2 linked regions of the Cricetulus griseus genome follow. Each later gene encodes a partner of the first gene's protein in a complex. Links are inferred from orthologs where the notes say so. Each region holds a gene or a part of one and is shown in the gene's direction. Other genes may lie near its edges.

The links. Proteins that work in one complex are often made in the same cells at the same time.
Region 2: Anp32a (region 1) and nucleoside diphosphate kinase A share a complex: the UniProt entries of both Homo sapiens proteins name them as parts of the SET complex. The link is inferred for Cricetulus griseus from reciprocal best matches to the Homo sapiens genes ANP32A and NME1.

Annotation. Positions count from the first base shown.
Region 1 is NC_048597.1:173,857,914-173,862,267, forward strand, and holds the start of Anp32a (acidic leucine-rich nuclear phosphoprotein 32 family member A), read left to right. Parts: upstream 1-1,513; 5' UTR 1,514-1,537; coding exon 1,538-1,591; intron 1,592-1,819; coding exon of another isoform or gene 1,820-2,016; intron 2,017-2,134; coding exon of another isoform or gene 2,135-2,267; intron 2,268-2,885; exon of another isoform or gene 2,886-3,980; intron 3,981-3,991; coding exon of another isoform or gene 3,992-4,280; exon of another isoform or gene 4,281-4,354. Other genes in the region: uncharacterized protein LOC113835543, read right to left, coding at 1,482-1,513, 1,820-2,016, 2,135-2,267, 3,992-4,280. UniProt on the Homo sapiens protein: Multifunctional protein that is involved in the regulation of many processes including tumor suppression, apoptosis, cell cycle progression or transcription. Promotes apoptosis by favouring the activation of caspase-9/CASP9 and allowing apoptosome formation.
Region 2 is NC_048600.1:106,872,368-106,875,929, reverse strand, and holds part of nucleoside diphosphate kinase A, read left to right. Parts: intron 1-1,663; coding exon 1,664-1,776; intron 1,777-3,562. UniProt on the Homo sapiens protein: Major role in the synthesis of nucleoside triphosphates other than ATP. The ATP gamma phosphate is transferred to the NDP beta phosphate via a ping-pong mechanism, using a phosphorylated active-site intermediate.

The DNA of each region.
Region 1 (4,354 bases):
GCAGTCCCCTGTGTTTTAAAAAGGAACCAATACAATTGAAAAATTCCAGTTACACGGCCTTCATAAAAATTAACAAAATCTAAGGATATGTTAAATGGACAACTTAAAGAAATTATGCCATATTCACCCAGATGTCATGTTTTTATTTTGTACTTCCAGTTACTTAGAATAAACATTTATCGGCTTCCAAGTTCAACTATTATTTGATCTAAAAGAATTTACTGAATAAAATGCTCAGTTCCAATGTATGCGAAAAAGATAAAACTACCTTGGGGTGTTTACGATAGAGGAAGAAGAAACAAGAGAAAAGGATACTATGATAGTTGTGTGGATGAAGTTAAACATGAGTCCCTGTTGACAGTCATCCCCGTGATTTGTCCACAGCCACAGATATCCACGCTGTACATGAGGTCCCAGGGTGGCTCATAAGAAGCTGATAACCCAGTGGGAACCGGGGCTTTTAAGGTCTATTAAAAACGTAACTTGCTCGAACAAAAACAAAACCCAAAGCAACCGAAACACCTGGATAAATGCTACAGTTAGCGACTCCTTGGCAACTCAGATCTAACCAAACGACTGGTGGACGATGAGAAAGAAATCGTGCGACGCTCTCAACAAAACCTATAAAACCCGTAAATTATGTTCGGCTCTGCGAATCGGCAGTTACTAGCACCTTTCGCATTTCCTAATATTGTATACAGCTCTGCATCCGCAGCCTTTTCATTCATTTATTGCCCTACACAAGATCTCCAGTGGCTCTCGGGGAATCGCCTCTTGTAAGGCTGCCCTGGCAGGAGATCAGAATGCCAAGCTTCTGGGTCGAGATCCCGCCCTCGCTCCTCAGACGGTAGGAACATCATGCGCTTAGACTTGCTTATTTAATTGCGGGATGGGAGAAGATCTAGTCCGAAGGGATGCGTCGAGCAGGCAGCCCGGGGTGTGATCTGTCCTTCGTGCGCCCCCAGAACGCACGCCCTCCCTAGGCCTGCCCTGCGCCCGCGCGCCCCAGGCCTCGTCTGCCCGCTAAGCACCCAGAGGATGCCCCCGTGAGGACCCCGCCCCTCCCGCGTCCACGCACCTGCGGCCCCGCCCCGGCCACGAACCTTCAGGTCCACGCACCTGCCCTGCCTTCCCTCCCGCCCCCCGCGCGCAGCCACCAAAGCGGCAGCCGCGCTCCTCCTCGGTCGCCCGGGTATCTAAAGGGGTCCGTCTCCGGCACCACAGCCAAATGGCTGAGCCTCCCTGGCCCGCTGCGCAGGCCGCCCATTGGACCCTGCCCCCCGCCGCCGCCACCACTATTGGCTGGCATCAGAAGCCTCGCCACTCGATTGGTTCGTGCTGCCGCCACTCCACGCCGGAGCCGTAGGTTCCGCCTCCACGGCGATCAGGTTAGTGTGCGCCGCGGGTGCTGGGGGCTCGAGAACCGAGCGGAGCTGGTTGAGCCTTCAAAGTCCTAAAACGCGCGGCCGTGGGTTCGGGGTTTATTGATTGAATTCCGCTGGCGCAGGATCCTCTGCAGAGAGAGAGAGCGCGAGAGATGGATATGGACAAACGGATTCATTTAGAGCTGCGGAACAGGACGCCCTCTGATGTGAGCATTTGCCAAAAATATCTCTGTCGGTCCATTCTCCTACTTTGTGTTATGTGTGCGTGTGTTTTGGGGGGGAAGGCACTTTTTTATGGAGGTGGGCTCCGAGGAGGTGTAGGGTTTAGGGTTGGACTGCAAATGAATTGCAAGGTTGGATGGGGGGGGGGTTGCAATGCCATCGGAGCATGTTCTGGCCACCGCTGCCGCTGCCCTTGGTGTGTGACTGACTACCTGTGCGTGTGCTCCCGCGTGTGCGGGTATGGGTGCGAGGGTGTGCGTACGAATGTGCACCCAGCGGGGGGCCGGCGGGGCGCACGCGTTCGGGTCGGAGGGAACGCTGCGATCTCACCCTCGTCCGAGCTCTCAGCTCCCACGACTCGCGTCTGGATGGAAAAGATGATTGAGGGGAGGAGAAGATGGGCTGCCTCCTGGATTAAACAACAAAAAGGGGGTGTTATATTTTAGAAACGTACCCCCCTTTCCGCCCCCTCTCGCGCCTGCCCCCTCCCTTTGCCGTCTCTTTCGCTCGCTGGTTCTCTCGCACACAATAAGTTTTGGGAATCGCGAGTCCGGTTTAGTTTCTGATCAATGTGGCCCGAGGCCCCCGGGGACAGCGCGTGGGGACCCGGCTGCTGCGGAGTTGGGAGATGGCTCGAGTTTAAAGCGCGTCTTCGTTTCTCTGCGGGGATGAGGCGAGAGGTGGGGAGCCATATTTGTAACTTTGTCGTGTTCGTGAACGCGCCCTTTCTCTCCCTCCCTCTCTTTCTCTGCCTGCCTTCCTTCTTCTCCTTTCTCTCTCACTCTTTCCACCCCACCTTTGGGCCAGATGCTGTCTTTTCTCCCTTCTTCTTCGCGGAAAGGGGGGGGGTTACCTTAGAAGGAGGGGGAGGGATTGTGGAGTGTGCAAATGCTCAGATAATCCTCACGCCTCCCCAACCACGAGCGATCGCTAGTGTAAGTTGCCCAAAGGCTGCGTCCCGGTGAGCCTCTGGCCCCCGGCTACCTCCCCAGATGCAAGCCTTGGCACCCTGATACCCCAACGGCACCAGTTACCCCACCTCCGGGTCCCTGCTTCTCCCGGGGTGGGCTCCCTGGCAGCCATTCGGCGCCTGATTAATAAATGGGCACGGGAAACTTTATCAGGACCCGAGGTGCCCAGAGCTGGTGCTGCTTTGGGGACCGGCCGGGTCTACATTCTTGCGGGCACGGCTGGCACGCAGCTCTGGAATGGGCAGTTCGTCTGGCCGTAGCCGTTATGGATTGGGTAGCGGCGGGAGTATGGCAGGAGGAAACTTACACCGGTGGGAATAGGCAGGCTGGGCGCTAGCCCACTGCAATGGGAAGTGAGGGTGGGTGGGTGACTCGAACGCTACTGTTTATTTTTGTCTCCCTCTCGCTTTCACACACTCGTGTTGTCTGCGAGTTGGTCCATCCGAGAGACCCTAAGCTCTGGGGTGGAAACCCCGGCCGGCTTCCCTTCAAGGTCCGGTCGTGAGGAGAAGGGGCTCGCGGGCGGGAAGATCCTCTAGGTCCAGCCTGGGTGTTCGGGGTTCGGGCGAGTTGGGGGGCTCGCGCAGCACGTTGCACTGACCCTGTCGCCCCGCCAGCCACTTGGCCCCTCGAATCCTGACAAAGGCAGGCCTCGTTTCCTCTTTTCCCCTAGTTCCTCCCTCCAAACCTGAGTAAGACTTTTGAAAACAAGCTCCTTTCTGCCGTCCGCCCATCCTCACGCAGTTGTGCACTGGAGACGTGCTACAGCCTTATGGCGCGCAGGGCGGAGAGGAGGGGGCGCCGCCGGCAGCAAGTCCTGCCGCGGGGCACGGCCGGTGGCGTCCCGACCCAGCCCCGGTGCCCGATCCCGGAGGTGGAGGGGGCTGGGTGTGGTGCTGGGGGAGGGGGCCGAAGGCGGGCTTCCCGCGTACTTTCCGGAAGACCCCTGTATGTAGTTGGGGGGCTTCGGGGTCTCGGCGAGTAAGTGCGCATAAGCGCCGGGCCGGGCCGGGCCGAGAGACCCACAGTACTAGCCAACCCGGAGCGAATCAGAAAGCGGGTCGAACCGGCTCTTTAAACTTCCCCGAGTGTGTGCACTGGGGGAGGGGCGGGCGCTCCGGGCTGGGCGCGATTTCTCACGCTTCGCCCCCTCGCCTCGAGTCCCCGGCCCACTCGCCGGCCCCGGGGCTCCTGGCGGGGTGGGGCGCGCGGGTGGCGGGGGAGGGGGCACTTGCTGCACATGGGGGAGGGGAGGGCAGAAAGCTCTCGAAAGAGGGACAAAAGGGGTGGGGGAGGAGGAACTGGCTTTTTTTGTTGTTGTTTTTCTGGTTTTTTGTTTTTTCAAATAAACGTTTTTGGAAAGCAGATCGTTCCGGGGAACCTCCCTCCCCAGAGTATCCCCCACGCACCCACCTTCTGCTACCTCTCTCCCAAGTCGCATCTCGGGGACTGGTGGCCGCGACGCCGCTGAACTAGGACGAGCAGCCATGTTTCCCGGGGCGCCGGCGGCCCGCCCCTCCCCCACGGCGGCCGCGGACCCGACTCGGCGGGGACCCGGGTGCCCCAGCGGAGGGGATCCGGGCGCGCACAGGCGCAGCAGAAGCCCGGCGGCGCCGGCCTGGGGATCGGGTCTGAAGAGAGCGCGGCGGGCCAGGGGCCCTCGACCTGCTCGGACCTGCAGACCCCTGTCTGTCCTCGCCATTTGCACTGCTAGGCCGGCGGGAGACCCAGCCCCAGGGTGCCTGGCATTCTCGGGGTACAGAGACGGCCGGCCCC
Region 2 (3,562 bases), on another chromosome or scaffold:
GCTTGGAGCTTTTGATTCTCCTACTTACAGGGTATTTGGATTATAGGCCTGCGTCACCATACCAGACACAACTTTGCTTTTTAAAGTACAAGAAGAAGGGTAGGATGGGTGGTGGTAAGAAGCAAGATAGGATGAGAAGTGTTCAGGGACTACATAATGATAATGTCAGGGCTGTGCTGTTAAATCACCAGTGCTGAGAAATTATGGCAAGTACCATATTTAGCATTTTATTTATTTTGACTTTTTGAGACAGGGTCTGCCTGTTCTTTAGCTGTGAAGAGACACCATGACCCCTGCAACTCTTATAAAAGAAAGCAGTTAATTAGGGGCTTGCTCATAGTTTCAGTGGTTTAGTCTATCATCATCACGACAGGGAGCATGGCTGTGCACAGGCAAACATGGTGCTGGAGAAGTAGCTGAGAGTTCCACATCTGGATCTGAAGGCATTAGAAAGAGGGAACCATTGGGTTTGGCTTGGACCTTTGAAACCTCAGAGGTTAAGAGCACTGCCTGATATTTTAGAGGTCCTGAGCACAGTTCCCAGCAACCACATGGTAGTTCACAGCCATCTGTAATGAGATCCGGTGCCCTCTTCTGGCATGCAGGCAGAGCACTGTATATGTAATAAATAACTCTAAAAATAAATAAATAAATAAATAAATAAATAAATAAGGAGAGAAAAAGCAAAACAAAGAAGAAACAATTTCAGAGGTGAAAATAATTTAAAAAAAAAAAAAGGAAAAAGAAACCTCAAGACACACTTCCTCCAACAAGGCCACACCTCCTAATCCTTTTTAAGTAGTGCTACCCCCTGATGACTAAGCATTTAAATATATAAGCCCATGGGAGCCATTATTAAAACTACCACATTCCATTTCCTGGCCCCCTTAGGTTTATAGCCATATCACAATGCAAAAATGCATTGAGTCCAACTTCAGATGTCTCCATAGTCTATCATAGTATCAGCACTATTTAAAAGTTCAGTTTCTCTTGAGACTCATGACATTCTCTAATTGTAACCCCCTGTATAATCAAAATAAAAAAGCAAATAACCAACTTCCAACATACAATGACACAAAATATATATTACCATTCCAAAAGGGAGCACAGTGAAGAGATAGTCTGGACCAAACCAAGACCTAAAACTGGCAGGGCAAACTCCAAACTCTGTATGTCCATGTCTCATGTCAAAGAACTCTTCAGATCTCCCACTCCTTTCAGTTTTATTGACTGCCATATACTTTTAGCTCCTGAGCTGGTTCCACACCCCTTATGCAGCTTTTCTTGGCAGGTATCCCATGACTCTGGCATCTCCAACATCTTGGGGTCTCCAAAATAGGGTCTTTCCTGGGACTCTCTTATGTGGACCAGGCTGGCTTTACAGAGATCCACCTGCCTCTACCTCTGGAGTGGTGGGATTACCTCAATGGCAATATTTAGCATTTCAAAAGGCCACTGGCTATCACATGAATGAATCTGGGAAGGATAAGAGTAGGGGCAGGGTGACCAGAATCCCTAGTCCTGGAACAAGTAGGCATTCTGTTTAATCTAGTGAATGAGAGGACCCAATTCTGGAGCCTTTTTCTTTTGTTTAGAATCACTAGATGCCAGGTTTTCTACTAAGTTTTTCTTCCTTGACTGTGTCTTCTCTTGTCCTTTGGAGGTCTGGGAGGGGTTGAATGTTGTGAAGACAGGCCGGGTGATGCTTGGAGAGACCAACCCTGCAGACTCTAAACCTGGGACCATTCGAGGAGACTTTTGCATCCAAGTTGGCAGGTAAGAATTGGTGTTTTTCACTTTTTTCCAAAATCCAAGTTAGTTGCTACAAGAATTTGGGCCTCTGAGGCTAGAAATGGACATGATAGCATCTGCAGGTCAATTTATTTTTATTTTAAAGATTATTTATTTATTTATTTATTTAGGTTTTTTCGAGACAGGGTTTCTCTTTGTAGCTTTGGAGCCTATCATGGCACTCACTCTGGAGACCAGGCTGGCCTCGATCTCACAGAGATCCACCTGCCTCTGCCTCCCAAGTGCTGGGATTAAAGGCGTGCGCCACCAATGCCCAGCAAGATTATTTATTTATTATGTATATAGTGTTTTGCCTACATGTATGCCTGCAGGCCAGAAGAGGGCACCCAGCCTCATAGTGGTTGTAAGCCACTATGTGATTGCTGGGAGTTGAACTCAGGACCCCTGGAAGATCAGTCAGTGCTTTTAATCACCGAGTCATCTTTCTAGCCCCCTATTTATTTTATTTTAGCTTTTAAAGATTTATTTATTTATTATGTACGCAGTGTTCTGCCCGCATGTATGTCTGCACACCAGAAAAGGGCACCAGATCTCATTACAGTTGGTTGTGAGCCACCATGTGGTTGCTGGGAACTGAACTCAGGACCTCTGGAAGAGCAGCCAGTGCTCTTAAACCTCTGAGCCATCTCTCCAGCCCTATTTTAGCCTTAAAGCTTATTTTATTTTTTACTTGTTCTTCATGTATATGGACAGTTTTTTTTGTCTGTATATTTCTTGGTGCCCAAGGAGGCTAGAACAAGGCATTGGATCCCCCAGAAATGGAGTTACAGATAGTTGTGAGCCTCATGTGGATGGTGGGAACTAAACCCAGATTCTCTGGAGGACTAGCCAGTGCTCTTAAAGGCATCTCCTCTGCCCCTATTTTAGTTGTTTTGTTTGTTTGGTTGCCTTTGATAGTTTGAGATAGGATTTCTCTGTGTAGCCTTGGCTGTCCTGGAACTAGCTGTTGGCCTTGAACTCACAGAGTTCTGTCTGCTTCTGCCTCCCAAGTGCTGGGATTAAATAAAAGCATGTGCTGCCGCCACTACCACCAGGCAAGTTTAGCTGCTTTTGAGACAATGTCTTAAGTATGCTAGCTGGCCTCAAAATTGCTATCCTTGAATTCCTGATAGTCTTTTCTTTCTCCCTCCTTCCTTCCTTCCTTCTTTCCTTCCTTCCTTTCTCCCTTCCTTCCTTCCTTCCTTCCTTCCATCCTTCCTTCCTTCCTTTTCTTCCTCTTTCCCTCCCTCCCCCTCTCTCTCTCTCTCTTTCTTTCTTTCTTTCTTTCTTTCTTTCTTTCTTTCTTTCTTTCTCTTTCCTTTCTTTTTCTTTTTTCTTTCTCTTTCCCTCCCTCCTTTCCTCCCTCCCTCCCTCCCTTTCTTCCTTTCTCTTTCCTTTTTCTTTTTTCTTTCTGTCTCTTCCTCTCCTCCCCTCCTCCCCTTCCTTCCTTCCTTCCTTCCTTTCTTTCTTTCTTTCTTTCTTTCTTTCTTTCTTTCTTTCTTTCTTTTTTTTTTTTTTTTTGAGACAGGGTTTCTCTGTGTAGCCCTGGCTGTCTTGGAACTTGATCTATAGACCAGGCTGGCCTTGAACTCAGAGATTCTCCTGCCTCTGCTTCCTGAGTGCTGGGATTAAATGTGTGAGCCATCACTTCTTGGCTCAGGTCACTTTTAAATGGGAGTTTTGTCTTCTGCCTCTGAAGGTGGAGGCTGACTTGGAGGGTCCCCTGTGTTTGCTTGTCTTCATCCCATTGCCTATACCTTTCTTGAATGTA